2 linked regions of the Coturnix japonica genome follow. The protein of the gene in region 2 interacts with the protein of the main gene of each other region in a pairwise test. Links are inferred from orthologs where the notes say so. Each region holds a gene or a part of one and is shown on either strand. Other genes may lie near its edges.

What was found.
Region 1: the proteins of MCM10 (region 2) and MCM6 interact in binary tests that used the Homo sapiens proteins (3 or more experiments, as listed by UniProt). The two-hybrid records come from large-scale screens. The link is inferred for Coturnix japonica from reciprocal best matches to the Homo sapiens genes MCM10 and MCM6.

Annotation. Positions count from the first base shown.
Region 1 is NC_029522.1:27,852,096-27,856,490, forward strand, and holds the start of MCM6 (DNA replication licensing factor MCM6), read right to left. Parts: upstream 2,947-4,395; 5' UTR 2,884-2,946; coding exon 2,774-2,883; intron 1,891-2,773; coding exon 1,744-1,890; intron 1,380-1,743; coding exon 1,269-1,379; intron 816-1,268; coding exon 566-815; intron 1-565. UniProt on the Homo sapiens protein: Acts as a component of the MCM2-7 complex (MCM complex) which is the replicative helicase essential for 'once per cell cycle' DNA replication initiation and elongation in eukaryotic cells.
Region 2 is NC_029516.1:5,991,454-5,995,825, reverse strand, and holds the start of MCM10 (protein MCM10 homolog), read right to left. Parts: upstream 2,913-4,372; 5' UTR 2,867-2,912; coding exon 2,803-2,866; intron 2,612-2,802; exon of another isoform or gene 2,439-2,611; intron 2,242-2,438; exon of another isoform or gene 2,240-2,241; coding exon 2,189-2,239; intron 1,554-2,188; coding exon 1,233-1,553; intron 933-1,232; coding exon 828-932; intron 238-827; coding exon 103-237; intron 1-102. UniProt on the Homo sapiens protein: Acts as a replication initiation factor that brings together the MCM2-7 helicase and the DNA polymerase alpha/primase complex in order to initiate DNA replication. Additionally, plays a role in preventing DNA damage during replication.

The sequences.
Region 1 (4,395 bases), on a different chromosome or scaffold from region 2:
TGTAGTAGGTAGCATCTGCTTGCAACCATCTGACTGCCTGATGAATCGGGTGTCTTGGGGAAGCTTAAAAAGATTCACAGGAGTCACGGTGCCAAATGTCAAGTCAAGGAAAAGCACTCAGGACACTTAGATTCTACTCAATGCAACACATTATCGTGAGATGTGATGTGCTGAGGATCTGGCAGAGTAAATCCACGTGGAAGAGTAAAACACTACAGATCCAAAAAAGACACCTCTTTTCATACTTATATGAAACAATTATGAATATATGTGATAGGAGACTGACAAAGGATTGAATACGTGGGTTTTCAGTGGCTTGTTTACATATTAAATATCACACAATAAAACTCTTTAGATTGTATTTGTAATTTCCCACACTTCAAGTCTTCAAAGAAAGAAAGAAACTATTTGCAGAAACTCCAGTGCCTTTTCTCAAGGTCTTTTCTTGATGTTGACACTACCAAAATCAACAGTCTCCAATGAGCAGCAGCAGCAACACCTTTCAAACACCACAAGAACATCACCTCGTCATTTGTCACCCCCTCATTCAACTTCACCACTGTACCTTTTGGAAGTCAACAAATCTTGATTTGTTTGTGTCCAGCAGGAATCTCCTTCTGTTGGCACAGACTGGGTTTCTGCAGATGTTTGGCTGTGTATACTTAAATTGCTGTTCCACATCCTTAATCACTGTCTGGCAGTCCAGGCAGAGGAAGGTTCCACTGACAAGCTCTGGATGAACTGGGTGGGTACGTACCACCTGCCCACTGATACGCATCAGCGAGCCAATTTTGGCAGATGTCAGTTCTCGAATCCTGTGTAGAACAGAAATTAATTCCAGACTAAATTCCTAGTCCAGCTGACATTTCAGACCCAGAGCACTCACGTAGGAGCAGCTCACTATGTAACAAAAGAACAATTGCAACAGGCAAATGAAACAACATAAAGAAAAACAACTTCCCATTTTGTCATTTTACATACTTGTAGATCAACATTAATTACACCATTGGCACTTCAAAAGCAACACATTATACCAGATTTTAAATGCAAAAGTTTAATCAGCTCGTCAGTATCTGCAGTCACTTTCAGCCCAGCATTTGCATGATTCACAAATGAAAAAAGGTTACATAAAATCATGCATCTTCTTCATTATTGTATGGATAAAGTGCACCTTTTATGCTGTATAATGAGAACATCTTCAATAGCTTTTGACATCTTTTTTCCAGAGGTGAGAATATACGAGTTTCTAGGATTAATAATCATCTTACTTGTGTCTGGTAGGAAGATCCTGAAACGCGACATAGAAGTCCTTGTTTGCAGGAATGTTTCCATGGTCTCTAGCAAAAGTCCTCACTGCTCGGCAAAGATAAGGATAAACCCTGAAATAAAGAAAACAAGTTTGATTTCCATATTAGATATCAAACGCCTTTTTCACTTTAGACTACATCACAGGCTTGTATCATACATTTGCAGGTTCTGGCTTTACAACAACCCTATGAAAAAACACAAAAGCTCATCTAAATATGCTATCAATGAGATTGCTGTGTTATAACTACATTTTTTAATTAACTGTATGAGAAAAGATTTTTGAGACCTTATTTTATGGCACTTTTCTCCTTTTATTAAACAGCAGAGCCTCAAAATAAGCCAATATAATATTTGCAGAGCAATAAGCTCCAGAGCTGCATTCTCATTCTGACCATCTATTTCTTTATCAGAGTAAATACAACCTGTACGCTTTACCTGTAAAATTCCTCCTGAACAGTGGTAGAGAGCTGCTGATTGAACTGCTCCAAATCCACAAAGCTCACGGTCAGTGTGTTACGCTCCGGCCGGATCAGCTCCTCAGCATCACGCAGGTATTTGACCTCCCCATCACTATTCTGGAATCTGAAAGCAAGCCAGGGTGAATGACAGTAACACGTAACAGAGCGGCAGTAATAGATCAGACAGCAACCAAAAACTTCTGGATTCAAGACAGAAGAGTGGCACTCCCCATCCCCTCACAGACATCCCTTCCAGCAATATTTTCTCCCAAGCAACAAGCCATAGGACAAGAGGAAACAGCCTCACATTGCTGTTTTGGGGTTTAGGGTTTAGGTTGGATTATAAAAACTTTTTTTTTTCATTGCGAGGGTTGTGAAGCATTAAAACAGACTGCAAAGGAAGCATTTGAGTCACATCCCTGGAGGTATTTAAGAACAACAAAGAGGTGGTGTTTAAGGGCGTGGATTAAATGGTTTTAAGTTAAAAGAGGGAAAATTTAGGTTGGATGTTAGGGGGAAGTTCTTCACTAGGAGAGTGGTTAGGCCCTGGAACAGGCTGCCCAGGGAGGTTGTGGATGCCCCGTTCCTGGAGGTGTTCAAGGCCAGGTTGGACGGGGCCCTGGGCAACCTGAGCTAGTAAAGGTGTATGTTTGGTGGCCCTGCCAGGCAGGGGGTTGGAACTACATGATCCTTGAGGTCCCTTCCAACCCGGCTCATTCTGTGATTCTGTGTGAATGGCAGCACGAGGTTAATGATTACTCTTGATCTCAGGATCCCGTTCCAACGCCAAGTGTTTTCCCTCTGCCCGCTATGAACACGCCGGCACACACAGGCCGGCCCCGCCTCCACACCTCGACAACAAGGCCCAGAGCGGCCTCACGACGTTACCACAACGGGCGGCAAGCCGGGCACAAAGCGCCTCAGAGCTGGGCCCGAGCTTTTCTCACAGGGACGGTGGAGCGTGGCCGCAGACCCCGACAGGAAACCCCCCCCCCATCCGCACTCACTCCTCGAGAAAATCCTGGAACAGCTTCTGGCACTTCTCGGCCACCTCATCCCGCAGCTGCTGATGCTGTTGTACCGCTCCCGCTCCGCCGGCCGCCACCGCCAGGTCCATGGCTATGGCTATGGCTATGGCTGCCGCTGCCGCCCCGCTCCCGGCCCTGGCCCCGCCCGCCAACCTTCGCGCCACAGCCGCGCTGACCAATCAGCGGCCGCCGTCTCTCAGAGTCCCGCCCTCCCGCCCCGCGTTTCCTCTTCCCTCTCGGGCGTTTTCGCGCCAAAAGCGAGCGTCTCCTCAGGGCTGCGTGGCGCCCTCAGTGCGCAATGGTGAAAGCGATTAAATGCAGCGTTTTATTTTTAAAGATCTCAGTGAATATTTGATATGGAGCCTTTGCACAGTGCTAAGAATCACAGAATTACCCGGGTTGGAAGGGACCTCAAGGATCATGTAGTTCCAACCCCCCTGCCTGGCAGGGCCACCAAACATACACCTTTACTAGATCAGGTTGCCCAGGGCCCCATCCAACCTGGTCTTGAACATCTCCAAGGACGGGGCATCCACAACCTCCCTGGGCAGCCTGTTCCAAGGCCATCTGCTCTCTTCTAGTTCTTCCTCTTTGGAAACCACCCGTAACAGGAGTCTGAAGGACTCCCCAAGTTTTATCTGGAAACTGAAACACAAAGAGCTCAGTATCTTCCCTAGGAAAGATCCTGCGGGGGAAGCCTGTCGGTTTCATTCTATCTTCCTTTTGTTATCAGGAAAGCCCTGAGGGGCAGAGATGAGATGGTGAAATTACTGGCGCAAGCAGTATGCGAATGAAGCATTTTGCCCTCTATGTAAAAAGAATAGCTGACTAAACTGAAGCACTTATCACACGAATCCAAATCAGAGAACAAGCTTTCAAGCTTCAGAAGATGTCTGCAAGAATCTCAGTTGGTTTTGTTCCCAGACAACTTGAAAGGAACTACAAAGTGTTATTTGTAGTGAAAACATGCACGATTCTGACTGAAGATTTAAGTTCCCATAAACTAAGGGAATTGTATCTGTGCATACATCTAAGGACAGGAAGTGAGATAGTTGTTAAACTATCCTGCAATAGGTGATGGAAATCAAGGACTATACATGTTTTCCTAAACTATGAAACCAGAACTGCTAACGATCAAAACAAGACAGAGTTCTGAATTACTATTTGCCGAGTTTTAACCAAGTTCTAGCAATGTGCAGCATACACCGAAGCATCCTGTTCAGATGACAGTCTTGACAAATGCGTTTTGCATTTTGATTTATGATCATAATTATTTTCAGTTGGCTGAGAAAAACTGCATGAAATGATATGGCATACAAAGGGAAAAGAAGGGATAGGGGCCTCCCAGAGGAACTGCAGTTCTTTTGCAGCTACTGAGAATAAATCAAACTAAAATATGAGCTCAAGTAACTTAATAGAATTGGGATAAGCACAATTGTTACAGGAGTACGTGCAAAACCTGCTGCCACATCTAGAGTAATGAACATAGTTGTCAGAACTCTGTTTTTTTGTTGGCATGAAATGAAGCCGCTAATTTTGTGTATTATTAGGAGGAAGCACTTCAGATGTACGTTACCAGCTCTGTAAGAACAAAAGAAATT
Region 2 (4,372 bases):
AATATAAATACTGCCCTGGATGTGTCCATGCTGCTGCTGTGAACTATGTAGGCTTTCAGCAAAGCCCAGTGTGTCTCAGTGAAGGCTCACTAAGAACCATACCTGCTGGGGAGGCTTTTGATTTCTGGTTTCCTTTCTTGGCTGCTGGTAAAGGATTGTCCAGCTGGGCTGAGAAACACGGTGACTCCTGCAGCTTCTGAGCTTTCCTTTCCTTTAAGGGTGGACAGAGAGATTTACCTAGCCAGGAAAACAAAAGCACTTATGAGATCTCAGGATCCAGTCTCACATACTAAACATTACTCCAAACTGAGTAATTGTTCAAATAAATCCAAGTCAGGGTCCCACATGGAAACTCTTAATTGCCAGCATGTGACATGCAACATCTGGGAAAGCCCCAATGATTCTTACTCCTTCTGACCTTAAACTCTTGATGTCACTGAAGCCAGAAAGCTGTAGAAAGTAGGAACATGTCTTTGCTTTTCAGTTTCCCTGTTTCATTATTACTACACTAAATGTGCATCAGCAACGAACACGGCTGTATTTTCTGGGTGTAGCAACATTTGAGTGCACCAGCATCTGCTACTAAGAAAGAACCTTTTCCAGCAGAACACTGGAGCACCACAGTCATAGAAGTTGCCCCATTTCAATCAATCCATGATGCCAATAACAAAACCATTTAGTCTGTACTGAAAGAAACAACCTGTACAGGAATATAACAGACCATCATTCCTTTTTGCTACTCAGTTCCCACTTCAGATTATCATCTGCCTATAATTTACACATTGGGAAGTTAACAAATCAGAAACTCATTTAATTAGTCTTGTTACCAGAGGCTTTCTGCCCAGGGCCTGAACTGGACTGCTGCCCAATGGCCGTCTTCTGCAGCTGCTCCTGCAACATCTTCATCTGCTCTTGTAGTTTTCTCAGCTCAGCTAAGAAAGAAGAAAAAGGACAATAATGAGGACAGCAGTAAAAGCCACAGTAAACAGGGATTAACAAAATCCTGGGGAGCCTGGCAGTATTACTACATCACAGATTAGGAACAAAAAGACTAGAGCTACAGGATAGATTTAGCTCTGATTCTACATGGCTCACAGGGAAGGGACAGCTTTCCATGCAGCCTAGAGCTGACTTATATCAATATTTAACTTTTTTGTGCTATATTCCTTGACATGTTGCGTGTATCTTCTCTAGTGAACACAAGACCATTTAAAAGATGCTGTAATAGAAACCTTGTAATTCTTCATTGGTTTTCTCTTCCCCCTGATTGGGAACTGAAGCTGTGACAGTGTTTTCTGCCTCCTCTTCTTCCAGCAGGTCATCCACATCTCCAAACAGCTCAGCCAGGTTCTCCTTCTCCTCATCAATTATGCTGTTGTCAGCGTCCACCTCCTCAGTGTATGATGCATCATCTTCTGCATCAAAGAGCTCATCATACTCATCTGGTTCTCCCTTCTCAGTCTTCGAGGTATCTTCCTCCTCAGGAGAATTCCCCTCTTCAGCTCCCTCATTTTCCGCCAGGAGGGAGACCAACAGATCCAAATCTTCATCACCTGAAGTAGAAATTAAACTCGGTTTTACTTCTATCCTTTTAGAGGAAAGCTGCTACAGAATCAAACATTCAAGTCACTGTCTTGAATACGCTTTTTGCTCAAGAAAGTGAACAGAGCAGCAGAGAAACATGAAGCAAAAGGTCAAAAAGCTTGAAGAGAGTAGATGTAGGTTGGATTTTTTCCTTGTCTTTTACAGTGAGGGTGGTGTGGCACTGGAACAAGCTGCCCAGAGATGTATTAGATGCCCCATCCCTGAAGACTTTCAAGACAAGGATGGATCAGGCCCTGGGCAACCTGATCAAGCTGTGCATATCCCTGTTCATTGCAGGGGAGTTGGATTAAATGACCTTTAAAGGTCCCTTCCAACTGAAAAGATTTGATGATTCTAAAAACAGGGAGAGGAACAGGACAGACAGAGCGGAGATACATACATAGAGCAACATGAGAAAGGTATTCAGCCTTTGGCCCTGAGGAAGACTCAAATGCAGCCTCACAAGAGGATGAGGGTGATGAAGGCAACAGACACAGCCAAAGGGAGCACAATATGATTTCCTTTGTTAAGAGGCTAATGGAGCTCTCTGCACTTGGTCAGAAAGCTTCCCTACTGAAAGTAGGGCAGTGCTTTTATCCCTTACCATCCATGATCTCACCACGATTCCTTCCACAGCCCCCCGAGGCAAAACAGACTCTGTCACAGAACAAATGGATACCATTGGAATGGAGATCACCTACAAACGGAGGCCAGCACCCTCAGTAGATCACTACACTCTCCATCCACAGCTGCCCACAAGAACTTTAATCCACAAACCTATTCCCACACGCGCAGCCTGCCTTGATCAGAGCCAAATGCAGCACAAGGGCACAACATGGAGAATAAATCCTCACCACAGGCCGATCCCAGCCCCCCATCCTGGGATCCCTCCTTCCTTCTTCCACCAAAGGATTCCCTCTTCATTCAGCCCGATCTCCACATTCAAGGGATCCTCTCCATTCGTACCCGCGATCCCATTAACCTCCTTCCCTTTCAACCCTGATCCCTCTAAGGCTCGGCCGCTCTCCCCTCACACACGGCCCCCATCTCCCCTCACAGAAAGCCCGACTCTCCCCTCACAGAAAGCCCGACTCTCCTCACAGCCCCGCTCTCCTCACACACACGGCCCCGATCTCCCCTCACACACGGCCCCCATCTCCCCTCACACACGGCCCCCATCTCCCCTCACACACAGACCCGCTCTCCTCACAGTCCCACTCACCGCCTCCCGCCTTCCAAGCACCCGCCAAAACTCCAACCCCGCTCCGCCCTCCTCGCTCATGCGCGCCGTCACGTCGCTCGTTGCGTCGGCGCCATCTTTAGTGCTGGAGGCGCGGGCGCCATCTTGGCTGCGGGTTGTTTCTCCACAGTGATGCTGTGGAGACTGAGAGCCCTGATGGTAGGCGAGCGTTCTGTTTTAGTCTCTTTCAATTGTTAATTTCCCCTTGTAATGTGAATTAAATCACCTCAAATTGCTCCTAGGAGGGTGAGCTCACGTCATGAATTTGCAGTATTAGATTTTATCTTTCTATGAAGACCTACCTCAGCTCACACCCATGTCTTCCTGTTGGTATTCCTGTGCTCAGATCCTTCTCTGACTGAAGCCTCTTAAAATGATTAAGTTTGGCTTGACAGATGTATAAGTAATTCCTCCTTTGGCCTTTCACATCGATTTTCTATGTTTCCATTAAGGTTAATGCTACTCAGATGAAATCAGCTCTATTGTCATTCTATTAGTTTGATTTTGGCCTAGTAGCATTTCCATCAGTTTTTTGATCATTGCGGAATCTATAACTATTGCAGAGCTCCCGTAATAAAACTGGATGCAAGGGGAAAAAAAGCCCATAAATCCTGCTGTCGTGAGGAACTAATTAAAAGTCAATAAGAGATTGCATCTTCTGGGAGTGCTTGTAATTGATGAAGAAGGGTGCAACCAAGCCAACAAATATCTCCTCACAATAGATTTCAGGCAGCTCTTCCATTAGCTGAAATTATGGATGAAGCTGTGTGGGAGCGTGAGCTATAGCTAACAGAAAGCAGGCATTCAGCTTACAGCAGATAATTAGAACAATAGTGACAACTGCAACAATAAAGACAAATCTTTGCTTTAATTATTAGGGCAATAAAGAGATGTTTTTTTCTTGCTACTGGTAGCTGAGAGTTCACTGACAGCACGGCATGAGAAATGCTTGCCTTCACACACTAAAATAGAGTGAAGGAATATTTTCTTTGCCCCAAGGAACACCTACAGATGTGTTGTTTTTTTGTGTGTGTATTTTAAGAATATTAATCTGCTCGGAGTGAAATATAAATCTCACAGTATTTAGAGCTTTATTTGGAATGAATCAGCTCAGGACTATTTTCATTGTCAGGTCTGAAGCAAAATACCCAGTCGGTGAATTTTTTATTTCTAATTCCACTATTGATCTGTTCAGCGTTTTCTTCTCCTCCATCATCCGCAGGACAATTTAGAGAAGTGCTTATTTATTGAAGCAGGTTGACAGGGGAATTTGTCATGTAGCAGTACAGAATATCTGCTGTAACAGTGCACATTCAGTTGTGGTATCCAGCATCCCTAAGGCTTTCTCCTATAGAGTTGTTCCATTCTTCTTAGCTCAAGATCGCAAGATGACATAAGCTATATATATTACTTTTACTGCACATGCATCTCCATGTGTCATCCTTTTAACTTTGGTCTGAACTTCAGAGTAACAGAAATGTATTGAAGTGTCAAGTGTTCACTTATAAAACATTTCTCCTCCCATATCTGAAAAGCTGTGTTAGGTGT